2 linked regions of the Schizosaccharomyces pombe genome follow. The protein of the gene in region 2 interacts with the protein of the main gene of each other region in a pairwise test. Each region holds a gene or a part of one and is shown on either strand. Other genes may lie near its edges.

Region 1 (4,076 bases), 1.4 Mb from region 2:
ACCATAATAGGATGATTTTTTAAATCTTCCTCTCCATCTTTCAAGAGGGCAAAGTAGAATGTTAGAAAACTGATGTAAGTACTCAGAGCGGTGCATTGAGCTTGAAGTAGCTGAGAAGATGGATAAGTCTTAAGTTTCTCCTTAATTTCATTTAACTGGGGTTTCAATTGATTTAATTCATCTAAAAATAATTGAAATTCAGGATGTTTAGCTTCTAGAATCTTTAAAAGCTCTGTACGAGGGAGATCAGGTGAAATTTGCTGAACAAGTTCTTCAATTGCAGCAGCAGAGGAATCCTGTTTTATAGATTTTAGGTCACTGTTATCAGCCCATTGACTAATATCATCAATAGCATCAGTTTCGCTGACTTTTTCAAGACGTTTACGTTGTAAACGCAACGCTTCTTGCTCTTCCATTCGTGCGTCAAATTCATCGTCCTCCTCAGAGTAGTCTTCATTGTCATAATCATCCCCACCGTAATATGATTTTGCAGAGCGACCCCAACCTTTATTATCATATAACTCTTCCTCATTAACAGCGTCTTTCTTTTTGCCCGAGAGCTCTTCATTTTCTGATAAATTCTCCTCGGCGTTCCCATCTTCCTCATCGCTAGAACTTTCTAAAGCCACAAGTTCTTCATCACTTAATTCTAATTCGTCTGCTTGCTCGCCGTTGTCAGCATCAAACAAAATTTTATCCTGTGCGTTATAGAATTCATCTTCTGAATTAGCAACATCTTCGTATGTATTGATTGCGTTTATCTTTTCTTTCTCCTTTATTTCTGGTACCTTTAAAGAAGAACCTTTCCGAGTAGAAGAGCTTCTCGACTTCTTTCTAGCCATACTGATATGCAGTTGACAAATATAAAAATTCTTTTTAGTTACGAGGAGCCACTAAAGGGGTAGGCAAGTTTTATTTGCGAATTTAACGCAATAAAAACTTAATTTTGTTAAAAATAAAGCAACTCATTATTCCACACTATTATTTTCATGGACTTCTCCGTACATAAGAAAGTTAATTAGAGGTGTTTTCTTTCCAAGAATAAGTATTTACATATCAAATTCTTTTAAAATCATTACATGTATAATTTTCGATGCACACAATTATGTGAGATGCATGGTTCATGTTGACAAACTCTCCTAATGTCATAGTTGCCAGTTGTTTTGAAGTTATGCGGTTTATTGAAACAGACTTAAAGGACTTAACTCGTTTGCAAATCTCGTATTTCTTTTAAATAATTGATATTCACCGAAGTCAATTACCCTGTAATTATAGATGACTTGTAATTGTTTACAAAAACACCTAAGACGACATTAGCGATTTTGCAAGTGAAATCAAATTTAAAATACGTTCAATTCTTTGTAATGATACGTCAAGGAATTCAGTATTGTGTGGTAGAGGAAGACGATCGTCAAGCTGACTTTCCAACTCTGAAATAAGCCTCGAGTAGACGCTTAAAGTGGCTTGATGGCTTGATTCAGTTCTTTCCATAACTGGCGCCTTTGTTGTTTGCTGTGATCTTTCCGCATCATTTGTTTTAGATATAGGTAAGGAAGCTATCTTTGGAGCAGATTCAGCGACTGTTACATGTTCAGAGGCATCAGATTCCTTTAGGTCGTTTATACATGAAACACAAAACATAGGGTTGTCACGAAGTCGCATCATAGGTACCTAGAATAGTGTTAGAAAAAGGGTAATAGTAAAATTGGTTTTGTTTTAAAAACCAAGGTAGCAAAAGCATTTTGAGAAAAGAAAACTGACTTCCTTAATATCATTCCGTTTGCCATTGTATTCACCTGAAGTTTAAACAACGACTAAATACAAAATTAATTACCTTTTCACATTTCGGACAAATGGTATCCAAGAGAGTATAGCCGCGGAGCATATATTGACCCAGTTGAGCGGAGACCTCGTCTTGTGTTAACATTTTTCTAAAGACAGTAGTGTTATAGAACCGATTTATACAAAAATAAGAAGTGTTTGTATATTTTATGTTCTGAGTTATTTCCCTACTTGTTAGAAAATTTTAGTTTTGACGAAAATGCTGTAGGTTGTCTGTAAAGAGACTATGAGCGTAGGTTGAATCGAAGAACTAAAGAAAGACAAAAAATTTATGTATATATAATAAACAGAGTTATATAAAAAAAAACGCTGCACTGAAAGTTTTGGAGTTTGAAAACTGAACTTTTGATTTCTTTAATGGTGTGTGCAAGTACTAATCGCTGCTACAGTACAATGATTTGAAAAACTAGGGTAAATTAATTAAAAAAAACGATATATGGAACCCATACAATTTTTTTATTTTTTAAAGTCTAAATCTTTCCTTTATTTAATATAATCCCTTTTCTCACTTGATTTTATTTCACTTGTTCTAACTTTTACCCTATTTTTTTAGTATAAAAGTTAATGGCAAAACAAAAATGCGTTTTCGAATGAAAGCTGTGAATGTTAGTAAGAGCACCATTAATGGGGGTTTGCTGTAATTCTCCGAAACACGATGTAATAATGTATCTAATAATTCCTCTATAACTCATTTTTTCTAAAGTCACGGGTATTAGTGTAACAGACTAACGTCACAAATAATTTAAAAAAAAAAAGAAAAAAGAAAAAAAAAAATGAAACAATGAACGAGCTTCGTAAGAAAATTCGATGAAATATATTTATTGTTAATTAGATGATATAATAAAAATAAAATAAAATAATATATATTCGAGCTGAATTGATTACATCAAATACCAAAATATTAATAGGAATAAAAAACAAAATAATTACATAAAATTATTCATCAAGTTGCTACTTTCTCTCATGATGATTTAAATTAAGTAGAGTACTTGTTAATTAAGTATGTTGCACAAATTAGCATAATAGATGATGGTGTTTATTTATTTCATAGTCGGTGCAAATAACAATCATCTCAAAAAGATAGGTTTATTGGAAACCCGCTTCAGGTTTCGTTTTCATATTAATATCATAAGGTTGGTAAATTTAGCGGATTGACAAAAAAGGTAAACTTTTTCGTAAATTTAGAGAAATACAATCATGTTTTTTTCAACCAAGCAATTGTTTTATAGATTAATTTAACTCTTTTTAGATACATAGACCCCCAAATGCTTTACCCAATGAACAAAAGAATATTACAAAGCGACAGTTTTTTTTTATTTACTAAGGAACATAGACGGTTTGCCTTGTTTACTGATTTCGGAGGCTAGACAAATGGTAACGAAGGTTTGGCGGAATTTCAATACGTATATGTTACAAGTAGTAAATTTTACTTTTGAAATTGCTAAAAAAGCGGAAAGTTTTCCCGATCATTTCCCGTACGGCATGTTGGAATTTGAGCATTGAAATTTCAAAGCAACCCTAATTGTTCCTTACCCCTTTTTCCTTTCCGTTCCTGCTTACTGCAGATGCGAAGGAAAAACTTGTGTACAAAGACTAGCGATAAGATAAAAACTTGATTGAAAAAAGAATAAACAAAAGAAAATCTCGACAGTCAAGGGGAGATGGCATAGAACGGGATTATTAAGAAGCTATTTAGATGATGGGTATTCGGACCAAACTTCTTTGTATATTATACATACAACTTGTGCAAAGTTGAGGAAAATTGTTATTATTCTTTTTTTTTTTTTTTTTTTTTTATATTTATTATTTTCCATTAACTTCGTTTTCGTACTAATAAGTATTCAAATGGAAAGCTTTTCTTTTAAACATATTTCTCACCATTCGTATTTTCCAATGCTTCCTTTGTAAAATGTAAATAAATAAATTAATAGATATTTTTTAGGAAACAAATGTATTCATCATAGTTTAATTTATTTATTTATTTTCAAAATTTATTTTATTTTATTTTTTTTTTATTTACTATATTCCGTCTCATGTAACTTCACTAAAGTTCATTTAATTTATACTAATTCATTCAGTTCATCCCATCTCACCGTATATGTTGTATTACTTTCCATAGCCACTATTACTATTATTCTTTACTTACATACCCAACATTACCTCTTCCCCCCCCGTAGTACTCATTTCCCCCACCTCATTAACTCCTAAGTCTTAGTCTAGCTAACCATCTCCAT
Region 2 (5,095 bases):
TAAATTTCGCATATCGTACATATACAAATTGTGATCCTCACTGCCAGCTACAAAATTAAATGCCTCCATTGGATTCCAAGAAATTGAATTAGTTCTCAATTTGGTAATCAATTTGGTTAACGGTGATGATGTACGGAGATCGTAAATTACGATTGATCGATCCATACCAGCTGAAGCCAAAACCGATGTTTCCGTATAGTTAAATTTGACTACCGGTAATGTATCAGCTCCCCATTCAAACTTTGTTACTGGAGTATCACGAGAATAGTCCCAAATAGATACATTTTCACCGCTAGTTGCAAATAAATCACCTCCTTTGCTAGTGTCAATATCCAAAAGAGAAGAGTCTCCCAAATACGATCTTTTAACTTTGCCATCTTGTTTATTAAGCATGTAAACATAGCGATCAGAAGCGCAAGATAAAACGTCTCCTTGATTAGAGAATACTAATCCCCTAACAATGCCTTCATGTGCCTTTGAAGTCCAGCGCTCACAACGTTCACTAGCATCCCATAGTTTTACAGCTAGAAAATGTGTTAGTGACATCCAAACTTTTTATATCCACTTATTTATCACATACCACCATCACCACTTCCACTGGCACAATCTATCAAAGTTTTTGTATCACGAGCTAATGAATAAACACCATCTTGATGTCCTCTACCCAATTGACCAAGAAAAGGGGCTGCGAACATCCTGTCCATCTTTGTAGCATTCAATGCACGTGTATACTCACGCGCACGTTCAAAAGGATGGAGCGATGGATCTAAATTCCTTTTAACAGGATCTTGATCATTAAGACGTGTCAACGAAGTACCACGGGTGATTGTTTTGACCTTCATCCTTTTTGGTTCGTTGCAAGTTTCAATTTCTAGTAGTAAGCTCTACACCTTGCAAAAATATTGGATAATGAGGTGTAGCGTAAACCATCGTATTTGAATAAACAAAAGGGCAAATACTTCAGCAATCCCTAAGATTTAGCTTTTTAAAACTCATTTCAATTATTTAAAAATTCTACTAAAAGTAATCTTATCGAACTACTAGCAAACGCCACAGGTCACAAACTTCCCATTCTTTTAAAACGTTCATTTTAATCAAAGCTAAATTTCACGAGTGCCACTGATGAATCTCAATCATATACAATTTTATTCTTCCATAAACAGTGCAACTGTCACGAGAAATTACCACTTTTCTCTCATCCAAATATTTTTTTAAGAAACCAATAAACCAGGCATGCCCAGAGTTAATGCATATCAATTTATTCGGAGTGCTTGCGTACACCAGAAACAATATCGTCTACGCGCAATAAGAGGCAAGCACTTTCAATCGCGGTCTTAATTGACTGTAATTTGACGGCTTCAGGTTCCCAAACACCGTACTCATGCATGTCGACAACTCGACCAGTTTCCCCGTCAATACCAAAGCTATGTTGACCTTCCGCATGTTTCGCGCGAAGTTCGGTAAGTGCTTTAATTGGATTGGCACCGCAATTCTGAACTAAAGTACGAGGAATGATTTCAATAGCATCTGCAACAGCTCGGTAAGGCCATTGGGCAACGCCCTCAATAGAACGTGCCTTTTCCGCAAGACGAACACTGACAGCCATCTCAGTAGCACCACCGCCAGGGGAAAGTTTAGGATGGAAGAACACATTTCTGGCTACAGCCATAGCATCCTGTAAATTGCGCTCAACCTCATTAATAATGTCTTTACTTGGTCCACGTAGTAAAATAGTACATGCCTTGGGATTTTTACAGCCTGTTAAAAAGGTATAATACTCATCACCTAATTTATCGATGTAAAATAAGCCACAGCCTGTACCTACATCCTTCTCACGTAAATCTTCAAGACGATTAACGATATTGGCACCACACGCACGAGCAATACGGTTGTTATCAGATTTACGTGTTCGACGCAGAGCAGTAATGTTAGCTTTTAACAAGTAGTGTTGAGCAAGGTCAGATACACCTTTTTCAGTGATGACAAGATCAGGTTTTACTGCAATGATATAATCACACATACGCTTGACTTGTTCTTCTTCAATTTCAAGAATACGGTTCCAATCGGTGTCTTTGGAAATTTCAATATTAGTTTGAGATTCACCTTTTCGGTACTCTAAAGGACAATCCAACAGGACAATTCTTGGATTTTCTATGCGACGACGCATTTTGGGATGTGTAACATCTTTGTTAAGCATAACACCATCTAATACGCAGCTTGACTCAATTTCACCACCTGGGACCTTTTCCACACGGGCATAACGCTTAATGTCTATTTCCATTCTACCATTTGAAGTAGAAGCAACGGTACGGACAGCACGAAGAGCAAGATGACACATCAAATCGCTCCATCTCGCAACTAATTTAGTGCCGATACATGTTCGAATAAGACGAAACATTTCAGCATTGTCATCGACATTCACGGGTAACGTTATCTCATCAATAATAGATAATGCATCTTCCAAAGCTTGTTTAAACGAGCGGATCATGACAACGGGATGAATTTTACGATCAAGCAATGGACTAGCAGCGGCCAATATTTCACCAGCCAATATAATCACCGAAGTAGTGCCATCACCAACTTCTTCATCTTGGGTTCTCGCAAGCTCAATCATGCTTTTAGCAGCCGGATGTGCGACTTCAATTTCACGTAAAATGGCATGTCCATCGTTTGTAAGCAAAACACTCCCAACTGGATCGAGCAACATTTTAAGCATAGCTCTCGGGCCTAAACATGTTCGAATAACCTATAATGTCAGCAACGTAATATATAACAAACCTCAGTTTAAAGCTTAAGAGGATGGAAAAAAACCGTACATCAGCGACAGCCTTCGCAGCTTGTATATTTGACATCTGGGCCTTGTGGCCAACCTGTCGGTTGCCATTTGTATCTTTGGTTAATTAAATTAATACCAGAAATGCAACTTACTCATAACAAACACAGGAGACTGCATGTTGGTGAAAGACAACTTCAAATTGGTAAAGGTCGTTTGTTCCTTAAAGCGAAGTATTCAAAACCCTGATAAGGATACGTTAAAATTCGCAATAATAGCAAACCGATACGCAAATTTTGTTTTGCAAATGTTATTGTATATAAAAATCAAAAAGATAACGAGATTGACCAACACAGAAGCGTTTTTATTTACTTTGAGAAAATGATTAGTTTGCTATATTTCATATTAAAATAAATTGAGGTAAATTAATAATTGAAAAAAATTGTAAAATTTGATATTAAATAAAACAAATATGAAAATACATCTGCTCTCTCATTCCCAGAACTTCGAACAAGAGAAGCAGAAGTCAAAAGTGGTAGTAATTTCATGGATTAAAGTAAAAAAAAAAGGATGTGTACAACCTATCGAAATATATACCTATACTCACAATGTACACATGAAAAATAAACACAGATATCGAGAATTAGCTTATAGAAGATAATCAATTTTTATGCAAGGTCAGAAAACACCGTATTATTTCTAACAAATCGAAAGCAATAATGGTTCAATACGTTTATGTACCACTGTGGAGGAGTGTCAAAAAAAAATCAAACCTGTAGGGTAATTCAGAAGAAATGGTAAACGATAGATGAACCGTTCGAATATATACAACGGGAAGAAAACAAGCATATATACAATCATAGAAAAAGATTTGTTTTACATGAAATATTCTAACTTTTTATGTTAGTTTTTCGAAGAACCAAACAACCAGAAACATATACTCAATGTAGTCACGCTTACCAAAGCGCACAAGGATACAGCAAGTAAATAATTTAAGGCGTAAGATTGTCAATTTGTGAAATTGTGAGTTGAATATTTGAGCGGATTTTCTCCAATTCTTGAAGGGGCATCAGAGCACTAGGTTCAGGATCCATTTTTTCGCAAGATTCAAAAAGGCGTTTTGATTCACGATCTAGCGCAGATATCATAGTAGGTAATCGGGGAAGGACCTCTGAAACTTGATTGATTTGTTGGTTCAAAACTCTCAGAGAGTCATTAAGTGTTTTATCAAACTCAGACAAAAGGTGCTGGGACGTTTCGTACAATATAGAAGGGTCATTGCTCTCAGGAAGAAGCTGATTTAATTTATCAATTGGGCTCTTGAATTTCGAGGGACCAAATTCCCCAATCCAATCCTTCTCGGGCATTGATATTTGGCGTCTTTCTTCAAGTAGCCCTCGTCTGTTTTCCTTTTCTTAGTTCTTTCCGAGATCCTTCGTTTCGGTATACTAAATTATATATTATGGTCGAGAGTGGTATAATTTTAATGAATGTCATACGCACCTCGTAATAATGTACTATTGAGCATTGTCGATCCACCTTATAACTAGATGCAGAAAGTGTGCTTAACATGGCTTTATGAATACTAACGCGGTAGCTAATCCCATTCAAGTGGTTTTGAAATTTGTATATTCGCTTTAGCAATGTCCCAAGAAAACCATGTGGATGTCCCTAGGAAAAGGATTCGGATTGACCAATCTGAGTCTTCAAGGAATTTGGAAAGAAATGGATTAGAAGATGAAGCCAACGCTCCTTCAGATTTGAGCGGTCAGAAGTTTTATATGACCGAGTCAGATGTAGGAATTGATGCGTTTTTGAATCCAAATCTTCCTTCAATCGATGGAATTATTAAAGCAAGATTCACGGATTTTGCTGTTTTTGAAGTTGATACAGATGGAAATATAGTTCACTTAACTGATATGGAAGCTCACGATCCTATCCTTTCGAAGGCAACCGGAGACAAGGAAACTGAAGACGCAAAAGATTCTTCTAATCAAGATATAAGTAATGACCAGAAAGCTCCTTCTTTTAAGGAACAAGAACCTGCTACACTGCCTATATTGCCGAATGACCTCCAAAGTATCATACCTAAGGGAATTGGTAATGAATTTATTCAATCTCTTCATAAGCTATCAGTTGGTGAAATAACTGATCCCATCTCATTAATTCTTCCCGAAAATACTCCTCCTATGGATAAAGGTCAGCGAACGATCTTACATCAATTCATACGAAACAACTTTTCTGGACTCGAGTCTTCTACAAAAGGGAATGGAACTTTTACAGTGTCAAAGACCACCAGAAAAAACCAGCCTAGATCACGAA

Evidence for each region. Proteins that work in one complex are often made in the same cells at the same time.
Region 1: the proteins of cct3 (region 2) and SPOM_SPBC3B8.08 interact in a two-hybrid assay, tested with the Schizosaccharomyces pombe proteins (one large-scale study listed by BioGRID).

The regions. Positions count from the first base shown.
Region 1 is NC_003423.3:3,376,513-3,380,588, forward strand, and holds SPOM_SPBC3B8.08 (uncharacterized protein), read right to left. Parts: upstream 2,060-4,076; 5' UTR 1,928-2,059; coding exon 1,835-1,927; exon of another isoform or gene 1,672-1,834; coding exon 1,303-1,671; 3' UTR 1,197-1,302; downstream 1-1,196. Other genes in the region: U3 snoRNP-associated protein Utp3, read right to left, coding at 1-842.
Region 2 is NC_003423.3:1,989,511-1,994,605, forward strand, and holds cct3 (chaperonin-containing T-complex gamma subunit Cct3), read right to left. Parts: upstream 2,967-5,095; 5' UTR 2,954-2,966; coding exon 2,929-2,953; intron 2,891-2,928; coding exon 2,817-2,890; intron 2,747-2,816; coding exon 1,259-2,746; 3' UTR 906-1,258; downstream 1-905. Other genes in the region: U3 snoRNP-associated protein Sof1, read right to left, coding at 1-524, 581-842; SPOM_SPBC1A4.11C (uncharacterized protein), read right to left, coding at 3,766-4,140; pus7 (pseudouridine synthase), read left to right, coding at 4,417-5,095. UniProt on the Schizosaccharomyces pombe protein: Molecular chaperone; assists the folding of proteins upon ATP hydrolysis. Known to play a role, in vitro, in the folding of actin and tubulin.